2 linked regions of the Macaca fascicularis genome follow. The protein of the gene in region 1 purifies or fractionates together with the protein of each later gene. This does not show direct contact. Links are inferred from orthologs where the notes say so. Each region holds a gene or a part of one and is shown in the gene's direction. Other genes may lie near its edges. The genes, in order: IPO4 and ASF1B.

What was found.
Region 2: the proteins of IPO4 (region 1) and ASF1B purify together in Homo sapiens (affinity purification with mass spectrometry; 5 studies listed by BioGRID and IntAct, counting the BioPlex papers as one, with this or other methods). This does not show direct contact. The link is inferred for Macaca fascicularis from reciprocal best matches to the Homo sapiens genes IPO4 and ASF1B.

The regions. Positions count from the first base shown.
Region 1 is NC_088381.1:91,999,666-92,010,054, reverse strand, and holds the start of IPO4 (importin-4), read left to right. Parts: upstream 1-4,140; 5' UTR 4,141-4,169; coding exon 4,170-4,238; intron 4,239-4,319; coding exon 4,320-4,406; intron 4,407-4,534; coding exon 4,535-4,614; intron 4,615-4,700; coding exon 4,701-4,742; intron 4,743-5,159; coding exon 5,160-5,289; intron 5,290-5,376; coding exon 5,377-5,556; intron 5,557-5,804; coding exon 5,805-5,870; intron 5,871-5,971; coding exon 5,972-6,073; intron 6,074-6,159; coding exon 6,160-6,243; intron 6,244-6,498; coding exon 6,499-6,663; intron 6,664-6,767; coding exon 6,768-6,821; intron 6,822-6,978; coding exon 6,979-7,088; intron 7,089-7,382; coding exon 7,383-7,491; intron 7,492-7,636; coding exon 7,637-7,766; intron 7,767-7,968; coding exon 7,969-8,082; intron 8,083-8,183; coding exon 8,184-8,297; intron 8,298-8,531; coding exon 8,532-8,652; intron 8,653-8,840; coding exon 8,841-8,952; intron 8,953-9,047; coding exon 9,048-9,163; intron 9,164-9,279; and 10 more. Other genes in the region: TM9SF1 (transmembrane 9 superfamily member 1), read left to right, coding at 1-32, 319-504, 2,303-2,576, 3,149-3,542. UniProt on the Homo sapiens protein: Nuclear transport receptor that mediates nuclear import of proteins, such as histones, RPS3A, TNP2 and VDR. Serves as receptor for nuclear localization signals (NLS) in cargo substrates.
Region 2 is NC_088393.1:14,551,174-14,561,517, reverse strand, and holds the start of ASF1B (histone chaperone ASF1B), read left to right. Parts: upstream 1-5,158; 5' UTR 5,159-5,343; coding exon 5,344-5,452; intron 5,453-10,344. UniProt on the Homo sapiens protein: Histone chaperone that facilitates histone deposition and histone exchange and removal during nucleosome assembly and disassembly. Cooperates with chromatin assembly factor 1 (CAF-1) to promote replication-dependent chromatin assembly.

The DNA.
Region 1 (10,389 bases):
CGTGGGCGCCCAGTTCCTGGCCCTTGGCACTGGTGAGGTGATAAAAATGAATTGGGGATTTATCTCATGGGGTAGAACTAGGTATGGAGTTTGTTCAGAAAAGGTCTGTGGATCTTCTATCCAGAGGGGCAGACCTAAGGGATAAGGTGGCCCTAGCAAGGATGCGCGTATTCTATTGTAGATTTTCTGGATAGCAAAACTGGGGGAGATTGTTTTGCTGGAGGCCCTGGGTCTGGGAGAAGGGGGGCTGATTCCTCTGAAATTGCTAGAAGAGACACAGGTAAGGCCTAACATGGGCTTTCCACTACCATCCTGCAGGCATTATTGTCATGGCACTGCTGGGCATGTTCAATGTGCACCGTCATGGGGCCATTAACTCGGCAGCCATCTTGTTGTATGCCCTGACCTGCTGCATCTCTGGCTACGTGTCCAGCCACTTCTACCGGCAGATTGGAGGCGAGCGTTGGGTGTGGAACATCATTCTCACCACCAGTCTCTTCTCTGGTGAGGACATTCCTTTCCCTGGTGGGCCTTTCTGGACTTAGGAATTAAGAATACATTGTGGCTGGGCACAGTAGCTCACACCTGTAATCCTAGCACTTTGGGAGACCGAGGCCAGAGGACCACTTGAGTCCAAAAGTTTGAGACAAGCCTAGGCAACATAGTGAGACCCTGTCTCTATAACAAAAAATTAGCTGGGCATGGTGGTTTACATCTGTAATTCCAGCTACTTGGGAGGCTGAGGCAGGAGGATTGCTTGAGTCTAGGGAGCCTGGGAGGTTGAGGCTACAGGGAGCCATGATTGCACCACTGCACTCTAGCTGGGGTGACAGAGTGAGACTGTCTCAAAAAAAAAAAGAACACATCATAGAACTTGGGATAGAGTCAGGATGAGGCTTGAAGGGAAGGAATATTGTAAAAGAAACAAGAAAACCAAAAAAGACAAGAATGCACTTCTTTTGAATAGTTTAACATTATAAAGCCCTCGCTGGGCGCGGCGGCTCACGCCTGTAATCCCAGCACTTTGGGAGGCCGACGGTGGGCAGATCACGAGGTCAGGAGATCGAGACCATCCTGGTTAACAAGGTGAAACCCTGTCTCTACTAAAAATACAAAAATAAACATTAGCCGGGCGTGGTGGCAGGCACCTGTAGTCCCAGCTACTCGGGAGGCTGAGGCAGGAGAACGGCGTGAACCCGGGAGGCAGAGCTTGCAGTGAGCCGAGATGGCGCCACTGCACTCCAGCGTGGGCGACAAAGCGAGACTCTGTCTCAAAAAAATAAAAATAAATAATATGTCCTAGGCAGTGTGGTAAGCACTCAGCAATAACTGTGTGAAGTAGGTAATATTTCCATTCCACAGATGAGGAAACTGAACTAAAGGCTGCTTAAGTAACTTGTCTGAGATTACACTCCTAAAAAGTAGTGAACCAGGTTTCAGCAGTCTGACTTGTATTCTCACCCATTACACTAAAGTAACACCCTTTAATTTTTATTTTGAAGGTGGGCCCACTCTAAGCTTTCAAACCAGATTGCCCTTTCAAAGGCAGTAGTAGTCCCTGTTCTGAACCCTTTTTGTTCCCAATCCTATGTGTCTGATTTATATCCCATCACATTTATATTTGAACCAAGGCTTTCTGAAAACAGGGCCTTAATCCAAAGAAATGTCTCATGCTAGGAATTACCAACTCCAAGGCAAGACAGGCCCCTGGAGGCAGGTGGATTTGTGTTACTCTCAGATTATGTAGTAGCTAACTGGATCCTTAATGACACCGGGATGGGGGGTGGTGGTGGTAAGATTAAGAGCAAAGAGGCCAGGCACGGTGGCTCAGGCCTGTGATCCCAGCACTTTGGGAGGCTGAGGTGGGTGGATCAAGAGGTCAGGAGATGGAGACCATCCTGGCTAACACGGTGAAACCCCGTCTCTATTAAAAATACAAAAAAATTAGCCGGGTGTGGTGGCACATGCCTGTAATCCCAGCTACTCGGGAGGCTAAGGCAGGAGAATGGCGTGAACCCGGGAGGCAGAGCTTGCAGTGAGCGGAGATCGTGCCACTGCACTCCAGCCTGGGCAACAGAGTGAGACTCTGTCTCAAAAAAAAAAAAAAAAAAAAAAGAGTAACGGGATCTGAAAGGGTGGAAGTGAAGGCAGTTGACTCTGTAGGGACATCCAGGAGCATGAGTCTGCTGTTAAGAGTGGCAGGCTGCTTCACCCCCCTCCCCTTTTGGTCCTGGATATAAGTGGGTACCCTTAGAGATGTAGCTCCTAGTGTTGACCCTCCCTCCGGGGGCCATCCCTGCAGTGCCTTTCTTCCTGACGTGGAGTGTGGTGAACTCAGTGCACTGGGCCAATGGTTCGACACAGGCTCTGCCAGCCACAACCATCCTGCTGCTTCTGACGGTTTGGCTGCTGGTGGGCTTTCCCCTCACTGTCATTGGAGGCATCTTCGGGAAGAACAACGCCAGCCCCTTTGATGCACCCTGTCGCACCAAGAACATCGCCCGGGAGATTCCACCCCAGCCCTGGTACAAGTCTACTGTCATCCACATGACTGTTGGAGGCTTCCTGCCTTTCAGGTATCCTCCCTTTATTCCATGGCTATCACTCTCAGGTTCCTGACCTCAACTTTTCCTGTCCCTACTCATCCAGTACCCTAACCCAACCCGCTGATCCCTGGTTCAGTGGTACCATTCAGAGATCATTAAATGGTTCCTCCTATCTCCAAGCAGGACTGAGCTTGAATCAGTTCAGATATAAGAATGTCTCACTTATAAGGGCCTCCAGAGACATCTCCCCCTTCACCTTCCTGGTTTCTGACTTTAGTGTCTGTGGACATCATGTGGGGTTTAAAGCCCATTTGATGATCCATTTACTTTGTTGAATACCTCTTTGTGCCAGGCAAAGAATGAAGTGGAAAGTAAAATGGATAAGATCCCTGCCCTCAATCTATTAGGGAAGATATTCTTGAAGTGAGAGCAGCTAATCATAGGCAAAAAATCCCCATGAAGCCAGGAGATCTGGGGCAGAGAGTGGAGTGAACTCACTTTTCACAATGACCCAGCAACATGGGAGAGGGTGGGGGGCTGGATTTCAGCCCAGCCACTGTGCACAGCCCTTTAATGCTGTGTATCATCTCTTTTCTTCACAGTGCCATCTCTGTAGAGCTGTACTACATCTTTGCCACAGTATGGGGTCGGGAGCAGTACACTTTGTACGGCATCCTCTTCTTTGTCTTCGCCATCCTGCTGAGTGTGGGGGCTTGCATCTCCATTGCACTCACCTACTTCCAGTTGTCTGGGGAGGATTACCGCTGGTGGTGGCGATCTGTGCTGAGTGTTGGCTCCACTGGCCTCTTCATCTTTCTCTACTCAGTTTTCTATTATGCCCGGCGCTCCAACATGTCTGGGGCAGTACAGACAGTAGAGTTCTTTGGCTACTCCTTACTCACTGGTTATGTCTTCTTCCTCATGCTGGGCACCATCTCCTTTTTTTCTTCCCTAAAGTTCATCCGGTATATCTATGTTAACCTCAAGATGGACTGAGTTCTGTGTGGCAGAAGTATTGCTGTTCTCTCCCTTTCTTCATGCCTCCTTGAGCTCTCCTACCAGCTTCTCTTCTGATTGACTGAATTGTGTGATGGCATTGTTGCCTTCCCCTTTGCCCTTTGGGCCTTCCTTCCCCAGAGAGGGCCTGGAAATTATAAATCTCTATTACATAAGGAGTATATATTTGAAATTTTTAAGTTGCCTTTAGTTTTGGTCCTGATTTTTCTTTTTACAATTATCAAAATAAAATTTGTTAAGAAAAAGGATCATGTAGTTGGAGGTTTTGGTCTGGATATAGGAACTCCAGCCCCGCGGTTAAGGGCACGGTCCTTTAGAAAGCCGAGCTGGCCACTGAATGCCCGAAGCTTGAGTTCTCCAACCCAACTTGGGAACTCCCGGCGTGGGGAACCTACATTGCCAGAGCTGGGTTTCCGCGACTCAGCCGGTGCTCAGCATAACGGAAGTGGAGGAGTCGGACCTCTTTGTGGGAAGTGAATTGAATCACCTTGGCAACCCTCGGGGCGTGTGGCAACGCCCTTTCCGCCGGAAGTGGGTGTCAGCGCCTCCACGTGCTGTCCCTCCCCCTCCCCTTTTCGGCCCAGTAGCGGCGGCTCAGCTGCTGCCATGGAGCCCGCCGGCCTGGAGCAGCTCCTACGGGAGCTGCTGCTGCCGGACACCGAGCGCATCCGTCGGGTACGGGAGTAGGCATAACCGGGCCAGGGCGAGCGGGAGGTTGCGGGAAAGACCCGACTCTCACCCCTAGCTTCCCCCCAGGCCACGGAACAGCTCCAGATCGCTCTTCGGGCCCCCGCCGCTTTGCCGGCTCTCTGCGACCTGCTGGCCTCGGCGGCCGACCCCCAGGTGAGACCCCTGACTCTCCCCTCCGAGCTTCCCACTGTACGCCACTGGTCAAGCCCCAATATCCGCCCCCTGCGGTCCGCTCAGCACCCTCCTGCCCGGACCCCCACGTGCTTGTTTCCTCGTCCTAGATCCGCCAGTTTGCGGCGGTGCTGACCCGCAGACGACTGAACACCCGCTGGCGACGGCTGGCGGCGGAGCAACGGGAGAGGTGGGTTGGGCCTGGGTTGGGGCGGGGCCAGGCGGAGACTTTTCTTGGGCAGTCTGTGTACCAAACACCTGCCCACTGTGTTCCAGCCTCAAGTCCCTGATCCTGACGGCCCTGCAGAGAGAAACAGAGTAAGTACCTACCCCCTTTTCTCGGGATCCTGACGACCTTGTCGGGGTTTCTGCCTTCCCTTTCAGTTCCAGGCTGGGACTTGTGGGGCAGGGACTTCAGTTCTAGACCCAAGGTGGAGCGAAAATTTTAAGGCTGTTTTGAAGACTGAAGTTCTTGAGGAAGGGTGACTATGATCTGCCAAACTCAAGTCAGAAGAATAAGACTGAAATTCAGGCTAGTAAGACTGAACTTACCAGATTACATGCCCGCAGTGCTGCTGGGCTCCCTCTGAGCTGCTGTCTCATGTGTCCCAACTTGGTAAAGACCCTGTGCCCACACCTCCTGAAAGTTTCTCTCCTGGCTGCCCCATTGTGCCTGGCCACTGTGTGCAGAGGAAGGTATTGGAGAGTGATAGAGGAGATCTCTCCTGTTTGCAGGCACTGTGTGAGCCTCAGCCTGGCCCAGCTTTCAGCCACCATTTTTCGAAAGGAAGGCCTGGAGGCCTGGCCACAGCTTTTGCAGCTTCTTCAGCACAGTACCCACAGCCCCCACAGCCCAGAGAGAGAGGTACCATCACATGGTTGGCAGGAGGGAGGGACTAAGAGGTGGGATAGACCATGTAAGCTTGCTCTCCAATCCTCTATTCTTGGACAGATGGGGCTTTTGCTGCTAAGTGTGGTGGTGACCTCCCGGCCCGAGGCCTTCCAACCCCACCACCGGGAGCTGCTTCGGCTTCTGAATGAGACTCTTGGTGAGGTGGGCTCTCCTGGGCTGCTCTTCTACTCCCTGCGCACTCTGACCACCATGGCCCCCTACCTCAGCACTGAAGACGTGGTGAGATGTGGGCCCTCGTATCTTTGACTCCCTTTCCTCAGGCCTTCATGTCCTCATCTGTAAAAGTTACAAAACTGCTTTGGATTCTTTACCTGCCTGTGGCCCTTCCTGACAATTGAGAGGGGATGCTGTAGGTGGGCCTGGCTATTATGTCTGGGCTCCTCCTCGCAATTCAGGCTATGAGGAAGCTGTCAGCTGCTGGGGTGTGAGATTAGGCTGCATCATGCTGTCTGTGATGTGTCCCTCAGCCTCTCTCTCGGATGTTGGTGCCCAAGCTGATCGTGGCTGTGCAGACTCTGATCCCCATAGATGAGGTGAGGACAGGTGGGCAGGAGCTCTGTTGGAAGAAGAGTGCAAAAGTGACCAGCTTGGCCCACTGAAGAAGAGCATGGTAACCTTGTGCCTTGTTTGTCAGGCAAAGGCCTGTGAGGCCCTTGAGGTTTTGGATGAACTGTTGGAGTCAGAGGTGCCCATCATCACCCCCTACCTCTCTGAGGTCCTCACATTCTGCCTGGAGGTGAGCCTGGAGTGGACATGGCCCCTGCTACATGCTCTGTTGGGACTTTCCTTCCCTGTCTCTGATTCTTATTATTCTCTGGACAGGTGGCTAGAAATGTGGCCCTGGGCAATGCAATACGCGTACGTGTTCTCTGCTGCCTCACTTTCTTGGTCAAAGTCAAGAGCAAGGTGAGTGAGTGCCCATTGACACACATCACCCCACCCACTCTCTACCCTTAGTCTCACTCCTGGGACTTTCAGTTCATCTCAGGGTATCTAAAGTACTGTGGGGGTTCAAGCCTTGGCCTAGCCTCACCCCAGCTCCTGCCTGGGAGATTGGGAATTTTCTGTCGGACCTTTTATGGCCTGGAAGACTGGAATTTTTAATGTGAGCCCATCCTGGGAGCAGATTCTTAGGGACACTGTTCCACCTTCTCTGTCAAGGCCTTACTGAAGAATCGTCTCCTGCCACCCTTGCTACACACCCTTTTCCCCATTATGGCTGCTGAGCCCCTGCCAGGCCAGTTGGATCCTGAGGACCAGGATTCAGAAGAGGAAGAGTTGGAAATTGAGCTGATGGGGGAGACTCCCAAGCATTTTGCTGTACAGGTGAGATGTGGGGCAGGACAGAGGGGGAAGGTGTTAGGTGGCTGTGGGAGGTTGGGGAGGCAGAGATGGAGTCGAGCAAAGTAAGTCTCCCCATCCTATCTTAGGTTGTGGACATGCTGGCGCTACACCTGCCCCCCGACAAGCTGTGTCCCCAGCTGGTAAGTGTGGCTCTGTCCTTCTGGTGTCCCTACCTCCAAGTGTGCCTAGTCCCCTGAGGCCAAGGACGTTTAGACCCTGGGAGGTGTGAAGGTCTATTTCCACAGGAATGGGCAGGCTCTTTCTGGGGTTTCAGAAGCGTGCCACATGCTTCCCTAGATGCCCATGCTGGAAGAGGCCTTGCGGAGTGAGAGCCCATACCAGCGTAAGGCTGGACTCCTGGTGCTGGCCGTGCTGTCTGACGGAGCTGGTGACCACATCAGGCAGAGGTATCTATTCCCCTATCCCAGGGTGAGGGTTGCCCACGGGGAGGACCGTGGCTGTCATGGTTTACGCTTGTTGTTCAAGCTTATTTATCAACAGCATTTTCCCCCATTCTCAAAAGTGTCCTGGCTTAGAAGATAAATGACATGGCTTCCCAGCTGTAGGGATCAGGGGCTGCTGCCCACCCTCTGGTGACAGGAAAAGCCTTGTTTTTTCCAGGGAAAATGAAGAGAACAGGTCAGCCTAGGGCTGTCAGGTATAGCTCCTCAGCCTGTGTCCTCTTGTCCTGCCCTATCCAGACTGCTGCCCCCACTGCTGCAGATCGTGTGCAAGGGCCTGGAGGACCCCTCGCAAGTTGTACGCAATGCTGCGCTATTTGCCCTGGGCCAGTTCTCAGAAAACCTACAGGTGAACCAGGCTGAATGTGGGAGCCACCACTTGAATGTCCCCTTCCCCTCACCTTTCATCTCTTCAAGCATCCCTGCTGCCGTCGCACTCTTGTACGTGCCCTGCAGGTGAACCTGACTCAAGCCCTGCTTGCTCCCTCCCCCAGCCCCATATCAGCAGCTATTCAAGGGAGGTGATGCCACTGCTCCTCGCCTATCTGAAGTCGGTGCCTCTTGGACACACACACCACCTAGCCAAGGCCTGCTATGCCCTGGAGAATTTCGTGGAGAACTTAGGTAGTGATGGCAGTGGGGAGCTTGGGGGAGGGGGATGAGGCAGCGGCTTTGGCTGAATGCGCAGGATGTACATCTCCTTGCATTGCTGCCTATGGTGGGGGAAAGTGTGTGATGGCGCCACAAAGGGGTTTCCGCCTGGAGGGAGGTGGGCATGCAGGTAGGAGATCTGGGTTGGTTGATAGAGGAGCATCCTTTCCCACAGGGCCCAAAGTGCAGCCCTACCTTCCGGAGCTTATGGAATGCATGCTGCAGCCTCTGAGGAGCCCCAGCAGTCCCCGGGCCAAGGAGCTGGCTGTGAGCGCCGTAGGAGCCATTGGTGAGGAGAGGCAGGAGGCAGGGATGTGGGGTTCACCCAAAGGCCCTGTGGCTGGTGGTCCCTGCCCTTTCCAGCTCTGATTCTGTCCTTCCATCCTGCAGCTACAGCTGCCCAGGCCTCGCTGCTGCCCTACTTCCCTGCCATCATGGAGCACCTGCGGGAATTCCTGTTAACAGGCCGTGAGGACCTTCAGCCTGTGCAGATCCAGAGCCTGGGTGAGTGAGAGGCTCCCAGGTGGGGATCCCAGTGCCAGCAAAGGGCCGATGCTCACCTGGTGTTGACAGAGATTGCCCCCACGGGAGCACGGATGTCTTCCTTCTCATCGAAGGGGGTGTTCTTCACCCTGTACCAAGGGGTAGGGGGGGATATCTGAATCCCTCCCAGCTACCACCTTTGGTCCTATAGCCCACCTCCACCTCCTGGTGCTAATGGAGCCCATGCTCCCACAGAGACACTGGGAGTGCTGGCACGAGCGGTGGGGGAGCCCATGAGGCCGCTGGCTGAGGAATGCTGCCAGCTGGGTCTGGGCCTCTGCAACCAGGTAGACGACCCTGACTTGCGGCGCTGCACGTGAGTGATCCCTCACCCTGCCTCTGCCCTTGTCCCCACCCCTCCTTTCTGCCCACTGGGCCCACTGGAATCCCCACCCCAGACTCTAGTCCTCTGGTTCGGACCATAGCCAGGTGTTCCCGGGCTCCCCCATCCTGTCTGGTGGTAGCAAGCAGGACCATACAGCTTCTTCTGCCTGCTTTGACCAGGTACAGCCTATTTGCCGCCTTATCGGGTCTGATGGGCGAGGGCCTGGCACCCCACTTGGAACAGATCACCACGCTCATGCTGCTGTCACTGCGTTCTACCGAGGGCATTGTGGTGAGCAGAGGGTGGGCTGGGCCAGGCCAGCCCTGCAATGGGATTTATCTCCTGGGCCTAGCTGAGCCAAAGTCCTTGCCATGCCTCCACTCCAGCCTCAGTATGACGGGAGCAGCTCCTTCCTTCTGTTTGACGATGAGAGTGATGGGGAAGAAGAGGAGGAGCTCATGGATGAGGATGTGGAAGAAGAGGATGACTCAGAGATCTCAGGGTGCGGAGGGGTGCTCTTCTGATCAGGAATCTAGACTTTGGTTTTAGACCAGGGGACTAGTGCTGGATCTGCTCCTCTTGGTGCCTGATCACCACTGCCTCCCCATCTTACTCTAGGTACAGCGTGGAGAACGCCTTCTTCGATGAGAAGGAAGACACCTGTGCTGCCCTAGGGGAGATCTCTGTGAACACCAGGTGAGCATTCGCCCTTCCCTGGCACTGAAAACCCTGCCTGGGGGCCCCTTACCCATGACTGTGTCTCTCTCTGTAGTGTGGCCTTCCTTCCATATATGGAAAGTGTCTTTGAAGAAGTATTTAAACTGCTGGAGGTGAGGGGGCCAGTGGGTAGAGTGGGTGGGGTTCTCAGGCTGGGGGCCCTGTGTTCACAGTGCACACAGCAGACACATCCCGCCCCTCCTCATCTTGCAGTGCCCTCACCTGAATGTGCGGAAGGCAGCCCATGAGGCTCTGGGTCAGTTTTGCTGTGCACTGCACAAGGCCTGTCAAAGCTGCCCCTCAGAACCCAACACTGCTGGTGAGAAGGAGAGGCTGGGCCAGGCTGAGGGTTCTTGGGGCACGGCAGGGCCTGACCAGTGCTTCAGCCAATAATGTCCCCAGCTTTGCAGGCTGCCCTGGCCCGAGTGGTGCCATCCTACATGCATTCAGTGAACAGGGAGCGGGAGCGCCAGGTGGTGATGGCCGTGCTGGAGGCCCTGACAGGGGTGCTCCGCAGCTGTGGGACCCTCACTCTGAAGCCCCCTGGGCGCCTGGCTGAGCTCTGTAGCATGCTCAAGGCTGTGCTGCAGAGGAAGGTGAGCAGGGCAGGTGGGCTTCGGGAAGGAGAGGTGCCAGGCCCAGGTTGGGGACTGGCTACAAGTCCACCCCCATACCCCGATGAAAAGAGAAGGGGCATGAAAGCTCTGGCTAAGTTGAGCTGCTTCTTCTTGTAGACAGCCTGTCAGGATACTGACGAGGAGGAGGAAGAGGAAGATGATGATCAGGTGAGCGCCAGGGATGAAAACTGGGACCAGGTGGTCCAGGCAGTCTCCACAGGGACAGGGGTGGACGGTGTATTTGTTCTTGGCCTGGGGCAGCCAGGGCCACTAAAAGAGATTGGTAATGGTCAGAGAGACACAACCCTGATCCCATTAAGCCAGTGGGAGTTCAGGGAAGGAGAGCAGTGTGGACTGGGGTGTGCTTAGAGCGATAGGCAGGAGCAGAAGAGCT
Region 2 (10,344 bases), on another chromosome or scaffold:
TTTATTTATTTATTTATTTATTTGAGATGGAATCTTCCTTTGTCACCAGGCTGGAGTGCAGTCACGCAATCTCAGCTCACTGCAACCTCTACCTCCCAGGTTCAAGCAATTCCTCTGCCTCAGCCTCTGAAGTAGCTAGGACTACAGGCACACGCCACCACGCCCGGCTAATTTTTTTGTATTTTTAGTAGAGACGGGGTTTCACCATGTTCACCAGGATGGTCTCGATCTCCTGACCTCATGATCCGCCTGCCTCGGCCTCCCAAAGTGCTGGGATTACAGGCGTGAGCCACCGTGCCTGGCCAATTTTTTTGTATTTTTAGTAGAGATGGGGTTTCACCATGTTAGCCAGGATGGTCTTGATCTCCTGACCTCGCGATCTGCCCGCCTTGGCCTCCCAAAGTGCTGGGATTACAAGCATGAGCCAGCGTGCTCAGCCAAGAAAGGGTACTTTAAATAGGGTACTTTGGGAAGTCTTCTTTCAGAGGACATTCGAGCTGAACCACAGCGAAGAGAATGAGACAGCCATGCAATTATCCGGAGGAAGCACATTCCAGGCAGAGGGAACGGCAAGTGCAAAGCCCTGCGGCAGAAATAAGCTGGGTGTGTTGAAAGAAGGGGAATAAAGCCAGCTGGGCTTGAAAGCAGTGACAAGAAGAATGGTAGATGAGGCCTGAGAGGTCAGCTGAGGCTACCACGCAGGGCAGCCTAAGCCATAGGAAAGATCTTAGGTTTCATTCTAAGTAGGATAAGCCTTTGAAGGTTTTAAGCAGAGTAATGACATGATCTGGTTTACAAGTGAAGATCATTCAGCCAGCTGTAAGGAGAATGCATCATAGACAGGGCCACTTTCTTCATTAGCGCCACGGAAATAATGCTGGTGGCTCATGAGCTTCTCAGGGGCTATGAAAAGGTCAGGGATAGGGATAAAGGGAAAAAAGTTCCACAATGCAAAGATAAAACTACAAAGTTGGAATGAATAAATATTTAAATAAGCATCTAGAAATATGACATCATGACAACTGCATTAATCATTAAATTTAGTATTCATAAGCAATCGAATTACATTTGGAAATTAGATTTTCTCAAATCACAAATATCCCCAAGTATGCAACGATTGCCAAGAAATCAAAGGAATCATAAATGTGAGCTTCCTTGAAGCCAAATAATTTCAAAAGAATATTAAAAAGCTTTCAATTTTTTTTAACAGCTAAAAAAAATTTTTCTTAATGTGAGATGTACACACCAAAAAAAATGGGCTAGGCGCTGTAATCCCAGCATTTAAAGACAAGATAGGTGAACTGCTTGAGGCCGGAAGTTTCAAGAGCAGCTTGGGCAACAGCGAGACCCTGTCTCTACAAAAAATTTAAAAAGTAAAACAGGCAGGGCATGGTGGCTCATGCCTGTAATCCCAGCACTTTGGGAGGCTGGGGCGAGTGGATCACCTGAGGTTAGGAGTTTGAGACCAGCCTGGCCAACATGGTGAAACCCCCATCTTCACTAAAAATACAAAAATTAGCCAGGCAAGGTAGCGTGTGCCTGTAGTCCCATATAGTCAGGAGGCTGAGGTGGGAGAATCGCTTGAAGCCAGAAGCAGGAGGGTGCAGTGAGCCGAGATCGCACCACCGCACTCCAGCCTGGGTGACAGAGCAAGACTCCCTCTCAAAAAAAAAAAAAAAAAAGTAAAACAAATCAGGCATGGTGGCACGCACTGGTGATCCCAGCTACTTGGGAGGCTGAGGTGGGAGGATCACTTGAGCCCAAGAGTTCCAAGTTACAGTGAGCCATGATCATGCCACTTCACTCCAGCCTGGGAAACAGAGCTCTGTTTAAAAAAAAAAAAAAAAAAATCCCACAGGAACTGGATTGTTTCCAGAGGTGACTAGGTAAGAAATACTAGTGCCTTTGATAAGTGCTATTCAGGCTTATGGCCTGTGATTTTGAACACTGTCCAGGGCACCCTTAGAAAGCCCTCTCTGGGGAGAGGACATTTGAACAGAGACTTGAATGACGAGAAGGCATAAGCCAGCCAAGAGCCCAGAAGAAGAGGTTCTGGGCAGAGCTTTGCACTGGGAGTGACTTGTCAGATTTTTAACAAAAAGAGGGTTACTTAGGCTGGTTTGAAATTGGAGCTGGGTAGTTAACAGGAGACAAAGCATAGTTTCGAAGACAATGCTCTCATCCTGAGAAGTGACCTGGTCAAATGTGTTTTTGACCTTCACTGTCCAGTAATACAGGAGCCACTTGTCACAGGGGTTCAGGAGCACTCAACTGTGGCTATCAAGACAGCTAAACTGAACTTTCTTTTCTAAAATTTAATTTTTTTTTTTTTTTTTTTTTTTTTTTTTTTTTTTTTTTTTGAGACGGAGTCTCACGCTGTTGCCCAGGCTGGAGTGCAGTGGCGCGATCTCGGCTCACTGCAAGCTCCGCCTCCCGGGTTCCCGCCATTCTCCTGCCTCAGCCTCCTGAGTAGCTGGGACTACAGGCGCCCGCCACCGCGCCCGGCTAATTTTTTGTATTTTTAGTAGAGACGGGGTTTCACTGTGGTCTCGATCTCCTGACCTTGTGATCCGCCCGCCTCGGCCTCCCAAAGTGCTGGGATTACAGGCTTGAGCCACCGCGCCCGGCCCTCTAAAATTTAATTTAATTTAATTTTTTTTTTTTTTTTTTTTTGAGACGGAGTCTTGCTCTGCCGCCCAGGCTGGAGTGCAGTGGCCGGATCTTAGCTCACTGCAAGCTCCGCCTCCCGGGTTCACGCAATTCTCCTGCCTCAGCCTCCCGAGTAGCTGGGACTACAGGCGCCCGCCACCTCGCCCGGCTAGTTTTTTGTATATTTTAGTAGAGACGGGGTTTCACCATGTTAGCCAGGATGGTCTCGATCTCCTGACCTCGTGATCCGCCCGTCTCGGCCTCCCAAAGTGCTGGGATTACAGGCTTGAGCCACCGCGCCTAGCCTAAAATTTAATTTTAATTTTGAGAGACAGGATCTCACTCTGACACTCAGGCTGGAGTGCAGTGGCTGGAGCATCCTGGGCTCAAGAGATCCTCCTGCCTCAGCTTCAGGAGTAGCAGAGACTACAGGTATGCACTACCACACCTGGCTTATTCTTTTATATTTTTGTAAATATGAGGTCTTGTTATGTTGCCCAGGCTGATCTTGAACTCCTGGCCTCAAGAAATCCTCCACGCCCAGCCTCTAAAATTTAATTTTTTTTAAAAAAAGTAAATCTTGGCCGGGCGCGGTGGCTCAAGCCTGTAATCCCAGCACTTTGGGAGGCTGAGACGGGCGGATCACGAGGTCAGGAGATCCAGACCATCCTGGCTAACACGGTGAAACCCCGTCTCTACTAAAAAATACAAAAAAAAAAAAAAACTAGGCCGGGTGTGGTGGCTCACGCCTGTAATCCCAGCACTTTGGGAGGCCGAGGTGGGCGGATCACAAGGTCAGGAGATCGAGACCATGGTGAAACCCCGTCTCTACTAAAAATAGAAAAAATTAGCCGGGCGCAGGGGCGGGCGCCTGTAGTCCCAGCTACTCGGGAGGCTGAGGCAGGAGAATGGCGTAAACCCGGGAGGCGGAACTTGCAGTGAGCTGAGATCCGGCCACTGCACTCCAGCCCGGGCGACAGAGCGAGACTCCGTCTCAAAAAAAAAAAAAAAAAAAAAGTAAATCTTAAATTAAAAAAAAAAAGATATGGCTGGGTACAGTGGCTCATGCCTGTAAACCCAGCACTCTGGAAGATCAAGGCGGGCGGATCACTTGAGATCAGGCGTTTGAGACCAGCCTGGCCAACAAGGTGAAACCCGGTCTCTACTAAAAATACAGAAAAAAATTTAGCTGGTTGTGGTGGTGGTCACCTGTAATCCCAGATACTCAGGAGGCTGAGGCAGGAGAATCGCTTGAACCCGGGAGGTGGAGGTTGCAGTGAGCCGAGATCGCGCTATTGCACTCCAGCCTGGGTGACAGAGCGAGATTCCGTCTCAAAGAAAAAAAAAGTGGTTTCCAAAAAATGTAAAATTAGGTGCGCGGCTGGCATTATTTTTCCACTGGGTAGAGCTGATCGCCCGTGGGGGCAGAGACTCTGCGACCTGGAGTCTCCCAGGCCGGGGGCGACGGGATGCGGCGGAGAGAAGTTTCCGGATGTATTGTGCGGTCATGAATCATGTCAGGGAATTGCCACTGCCCCCGTTGAATGGAGAGACGCTGCCTCAGGAGCTGAGTAGCAGAGCCCGGACTCGAACACTGGTCTGCCCCCGAACTGAAACTCCCATTTTCAGTACCGTATGCTTGAAACCTTCCAAGAGCCCTTGAGGGGGCGAGAGCGGGATCCAAACCCCTCGGGGGCGAGAGCGGGATTCGAACCCCTCGTGGGCGAAAGCGGGATCCGAACCGGGCTGGACTCCCGAGGTCCCAGGGCGCCGCGTGACCGCCACTCCGAACGTTCGCAACGTTCACAACGGACTCCAGGGCCGCTGGACCTTAAGGGTCAGGAGCCACTCAGAAAAGCTCCAGACTACGCTCACCTGTTGACAGACGCTGAGGGCGCAACCCTCCTCCTCTTTTTTCACACTCGCCAGCACCGCGGCGGCGCTCGACTTCCGCTTCTCTCCAGCGAATCCCCAGCTGAGCCTCCTTCTGCTCCCGGCACCATTACCAATCCAGCCAATCAACTCTCAGAAAACCCTCTTTATCTCCGCCCCACTCCCTCCTGCCAATCACTGAGGGTGCGAGCACCGCCCTTCCCGCCTTCTTTAGCGAGCGCCGCGCGCCACCGCTCGGCGGTTGGCGGCGCTGCGCGGTGCGGGATGCAGCTCCCGGAAAAGCGAGGCGAGGGGCGGGCTACGCCGGTGCGGGAACCCTCAGGATTGGGCAGAAGGAGTCCGGCGCTCTGACTCCGTCCACTCCCGCCGTTGACATCCGAGTCGGAGACGCTGGGGATTGGTTCCCAGCGGACACGCTAAGAAGCCTGGAGATGGTTTCGCCCTCCTCACACGCCGCGGAGAGGGAGCTCCGCTGATTGGTCCGGGGAGTCTGGGCGCGCGCCGACTGGCGCTCCAGGATTGGCTGAGGGGGTGCGCGCGCCGCCAGGGGAGCGTTGGCGGTGATTGGCCAGAGGGCGGAGGCCGGCTATTTGAAGGCGGTCCGCGGTTTAGGTGCGCACTTCAGTCCGCGGAGAGAAGAGGCGGGAGTGGACTTGGTCTGCCGTACCCCACTGACGCCCCCCCACTCACCGGACCCAGGCGCGGCCTCCGCCACAGCCACAGCCACAGCCCCTGCCCCTGCCCCTGCCCCTGCTGCGGCGCGGCGCGGCGCGGCGAGGCGAGGCGAGGCGAGGCGAGGCGATGGCCAAGGTGTCGGTGCTGAACGTGGCGGTCCTGGAGAACCCGAGCCCTTTCCACAGCCCCTTCCGGTTCGAGATCAGCTTCGAGTGCAGTGAAGCCCTGGCGGACGGTGAGGCTGGGCCCGTGCGGGGACCCCCACCCCCGGGCCGACCCCGGCCTCCCCTTGGAGAAGCGCTCCCATGGCCAACTTGATCTCCCCCATGAAACCCCTCGTCCCCTTTCCGCCAATCCGGATCTCCGGGTGGAGACTCCCCGCCATCAGCCAACTCGGACCTCCCCGTGACCTCCTCTCCCACTGCCCGCCTTGACCTCCCGGGTGGAGACCCCCAGCTAGCTAACTCGGACCTCCCCGTTACCTCTTCCCCCACTGCCCGCCCCGACCTCCCCATAAAGATTAACCCCAGTCAAGCCCCACTTCCCGCGTGGGAAACCTCATCCATCTTTTTAATCTGGAGGTCTTCCTAGGTACCCGTTTTCATGGAGAGATCTTCTTGGCCTCCATTTCTTAAGCCACGGAGATCTTCAGCCACCGTGATTTCCCTGTGGCAAGACCCGCGCTTTAGCCACCCACCCATTTTTGCCCACTTATTCCCTCTTTAGTGAGATACTCACACCTCCCATTTTCCCTCTGGAGACTCCGAATGTCCAGCCCCTTCCCATTTTCCCCGGGGGAAATCCCAGCCATCTGCCATTTTCCCTATGGAGATCTCTCACGCAAGCTCCTTTCCCTCCTCACCGTGAAGACGCTCCCCACCAGTAACCGTTTTTCGCTGTGAAAACCCCTCAACCCCTTTTCAGGACCGCCCTCGCCCCCATCTTCCCATTTGTCTCCCACCAATCCCCTCCCCAACCTGCCAATATTTCAACAACCCCACCCGCACCAGTTGCTGTTGCTTTTCTGCCATTGCACATACCCTGGAACCTGGTTCCTCCTTCGTTGGGGCCCAACCCCTGCTATGCTTGAGCTCCCCCTGGGAAAGGATGCTACCGTCTTTGAGGGGAACTTGGTCTCTCCAGCTCCCCTTCCCCACCCTCTTCTGTGGACTTGGATAAACACACTGCGATCTGAGGGCTGGCATAGCCAGGCAGGTATTAGCTGCTTCTCCAGGTTTGCCCACCCGTTTCCAACTGAGTTACTACAGCAGTTCTTCCCTCGCTTTTTCTTTCTTCTTTTTTTCCTTTTTCTTTTTTTTTTTTTTTTTTTGAGACAGACTCTTGCTCTGTTGCCCAGGCTGAAATGCAGTGGCACGATCTCGGCTCACTGCAACCTCCGCCTCCCGGGTTCCAGCAATTCTCCTGCCTCAGCCTCCCGAGTAGCTGGGACTACCGGCACCTGTCACCATGCCCGGTTAATTTTAGTATTTTTAGTTGGAGGCAGGGTTTCACCACATTAGCCAGGCTGGTCTCGAAGTCCTGATCTCAAGTGATCCACCCGCCTTGGTTTCCCAAAGTGCTGGGATTACAGGCGTGAGCCACCGCGCCCGGTCTTTTTTTTTTTTCTTTTTTTTTTTAATATAGCTGGATAATCAGTGCCAAGCTTCCATTGCTTTTGATGGTCTGACCTAGTCTGGAGGGTGAGTGGGTTGGGCTGAGCTGTGACAGGCTCCAGCTTCAAACAGTCAGCTGGAGCCCGGAGGTCACAGCCTCCTGTACATCTTTTCCAAGGTGCTTCTGCAGATGTACTTGTTAATCTGTGTGACTTAAAGGTGGACATGGCTCTCATCTCACAGATGAGAAGACAGGAGCCACAAAGCGCAAAAGACCTTTCAAGTCAAGGCCTGTACAAATCCCAAAATCTAAGGTCACCCAGGGAGCCTTGGCACCACTAAAATGCAAGTCCTGCTTTCAGAAAGAAGTACTCCATTAGGCCATTTTTCTACTTGGTGGTTAAAAGAGAAAAGGCAGTAGCCGAGGAGGTAGCGATCTGGGGGCCTGTGAAGCCAGGATGTGCTAACTAGTGCCTTTCGGGGGCAGGTGGATGTTTGGCCCTCAAAGCTGGTCACCTGGACTAGCTTGGGGCTGATAGAGTGAGATGTGGATGTGCTTCGGGTAGGCCAGTGGGTCTCTCTCTCCCTGGTCTGTCTTGCTCCTTTTTAAATTAAGCAGTCTACTTGTGGCTAACTATAGAATAAGCCGCGTTAAATCCTTTCTGGAACAGGGCAGCGTGTAAATAAATAAATAAAGTGTAGAATGACACTGTGGAATAAGATTTAATTTAAAAGCCAGGAGGAAATGGAAGGAAGTAATAGGTTGAGGGATTCCCAGCTCCCAGGCGGCAGGAGATCAGGTTTCAATCAGCCTGTTTGTGTTCCTTGCATTTAAAAATGGTTGTGTGGTCATTATCTGGTACTTCTCCTAGGAAACCCCTGCCCTGTGACTTTACTTATTTATAGAATTAGAGGCAGAAAGGCTAAATTCAACCTGCTGCTCCTTTTTTTGTTTTTTTGGAGACGAAGTCTCACTCTCGTCCCCCAGGCTGGAGTGCAGTGGCGCAACCTCCGCCTCCCGGGTTCAAGCAATTCTCCTGCCTCAGCCTCCCGAGTAGCTGGGATTACAGGTGCCTGCTATGACGCCCAGCTAATTTTTGTGTTTTTGGTAGAGATGCGGTTTCACCATGTTAGCCAGGCTGGTCTCGAACTCCTGACCTCAGGTGATCTGCCCGCCTCAGCCCCCCAAAATGCTGGGATTACAGGTATGAGCCACCGTGCCCAGCCTCTGCTGGTCATCTTTTAATAGAAATGGAGTGATTTATCCAGGGTCACCCAGCCAGTTTGTAGAAATATTGGCACTGAAGTTTTGAATCTAAGTTCTTTATCTTTGCTCCGATCCAGGGAAAGAAAGGAAGAAGGATTCCCTATTTCAGAGGTGGAGCATAGATAGGAATGACCACACAATTTATTGCCTAATCAGGATACTCAAAACACAGTGAAGGGGAATGCTATTATTATTATTATTATTTTATTTTATTTATTTTTTGAAATGGAGTTTCACTCTGTCACCCAGGCTAGAGTACAGTGGCGCGATCTCAGCTCACTGCAATCTCCACCTCTTGAGTTCAAGCGATTCTGTGGTCTCAGTCTCCCAAGTAGCTGGGATTACAAGCTTGAGCCACCATGCCCGGCTAATTTTTGTATTTTTAGTAGAGATGAGGTTTCACCATGTTGGCCAGGTTGATCTCAAACCTGACCGAAAGTGATCTGCCCGCCTCAGCCTCCCAAAGTGCTGGGATTACACTTTGAATCACAAGCACGCGGCCAGGGAATGCTATTGTTAATTGCACCCGGATGATAAAGCTTTTCCTTCAAGAAACTCAAGTGAGAAATCCTGGCTCTTCCAGTCCTAGGGCTCTCTGTGACTGATCTGCCAGCTTGCTTTCTGCCTCTTTCTGGCCTCCTCTCCATGAAAAAGAGAATCTGGCTCACTCTCAGCAGTGTCAACTGAAAATCTTGACAAAACCCCCAATCCAGCTGTGCGAGGTGGCTCATTCCTGTAATCCCAGCACTTTGGGAGGCTAAGGAAGAAGGCTCTCTTGAGCCCAGGAGTTTTAGGCCAGCCTGGGTAACATAGCAAAACCTTGTCTCTACAGAAACATCAAAAAATTAATGGGACTTGGTTGCATGTGCCTGTGGTCCCAGCTACTCAGGAGGCTGAAATGGGAGGATTGTATGAGCCCAGGAGGTCAAGGCTGCAGTAAGCCGTAAGCCATGGTTGCACCACTGTACTCCAGCCTGGGTGAGAGAGTAAGACCCCATCTCAAAAAAAAAAAAAAAAAAACCCAAAAACAAAAAAAAAACCACCCTAACTCCTAAGCCCCAGTTGAGTGACTCCTATTTCTCAAGGGCCTCAAGCCCCCTTTGTACTTTTATCTTCCACATCTGGAAATAGATGCTTCCATGTTTAGCTGAGAAATTCAACAGACACTGGTTGAGTAAGTCATAGAAGCCAGATGTTCTGACCCAGAACTAACAAAGCTGTTATGGCAGCAGGACTGATCTTTGATTATGAACAAAGGCAAAAAAAAAAAAAAAAAAACAGGCTGGGCACGGTGGCTCACGCCTATAATCCCAGCATTCTGGGAGACCAAGGCAGGTGGATCACCTGAGGTCAGAAGTTCAAGACCAGCCCAGCCAACATGGTGAAACCCCATCTCTACTAAAAATATAAAAGTTAGCCAGGCTTGGTGGCGGGTGCCTATAATCTCAGCTACTCGGGAGGCTGAGGCAGAAGAATTGCTTGAACCTGGGAGGCAGAGGTTGCAGTGAGCTGAGGTTGTGCCACTGCACTCCAGCCTGGGTGACAGAGCAAGACTCTGTCTCAAAAAACAACAACAGGCCAGGCACAGTGGCTCACGCCTGTGATCCCAGCATTTTGGGAGATCAAGGCAGGCGGATCATCTGAGGTCAGGAGTTTGAGCCCAGCCTGGCCAATGTGGTGAAAACCTGCCTCTACTAAAAATACAAAAGTTACCTGGGAAGGGTGGTAGGCGCCTGTAATCCCAGCTACTTAGGAGGCTGAGGCAGGAGAACCGCTTGAACCCGGGAGGTGGAAATTGCAGTGAGCCCAGATTGCGCCATTGCACTCCAGCCTGGGTGACAGAGTAAGACTGTCTCAAACAACAACAAAAACAAAAAAGCAGGAAGCAGACTCTTTAGCTAGTTCAGCTACAGTAATCATGTACGTGTCTTTAGTCTTATCATTTATATATATATGTACACACACACATACATACACACACACAGTGGAGGTATGTCTTGTACAGGGACTAGCTTGTGAAGTTAGCGCAGAGAGATAACATGGAACACAGTTGAGTTGCCTTGACATTGCTCAGAAGGTTAGATACACACCTCATGTGTACAGCTGTGTCCTGTACACAGTAGCTATGAGTTCGTGCTGTGTTGGTGATTTGTGTCCCATGTATAATTCTAAAGAAAGATTATATTCAGAAATGCAATCATACACATATGTCGCTACTTACAACACTGCAGCCCGATTTTTTTTTCT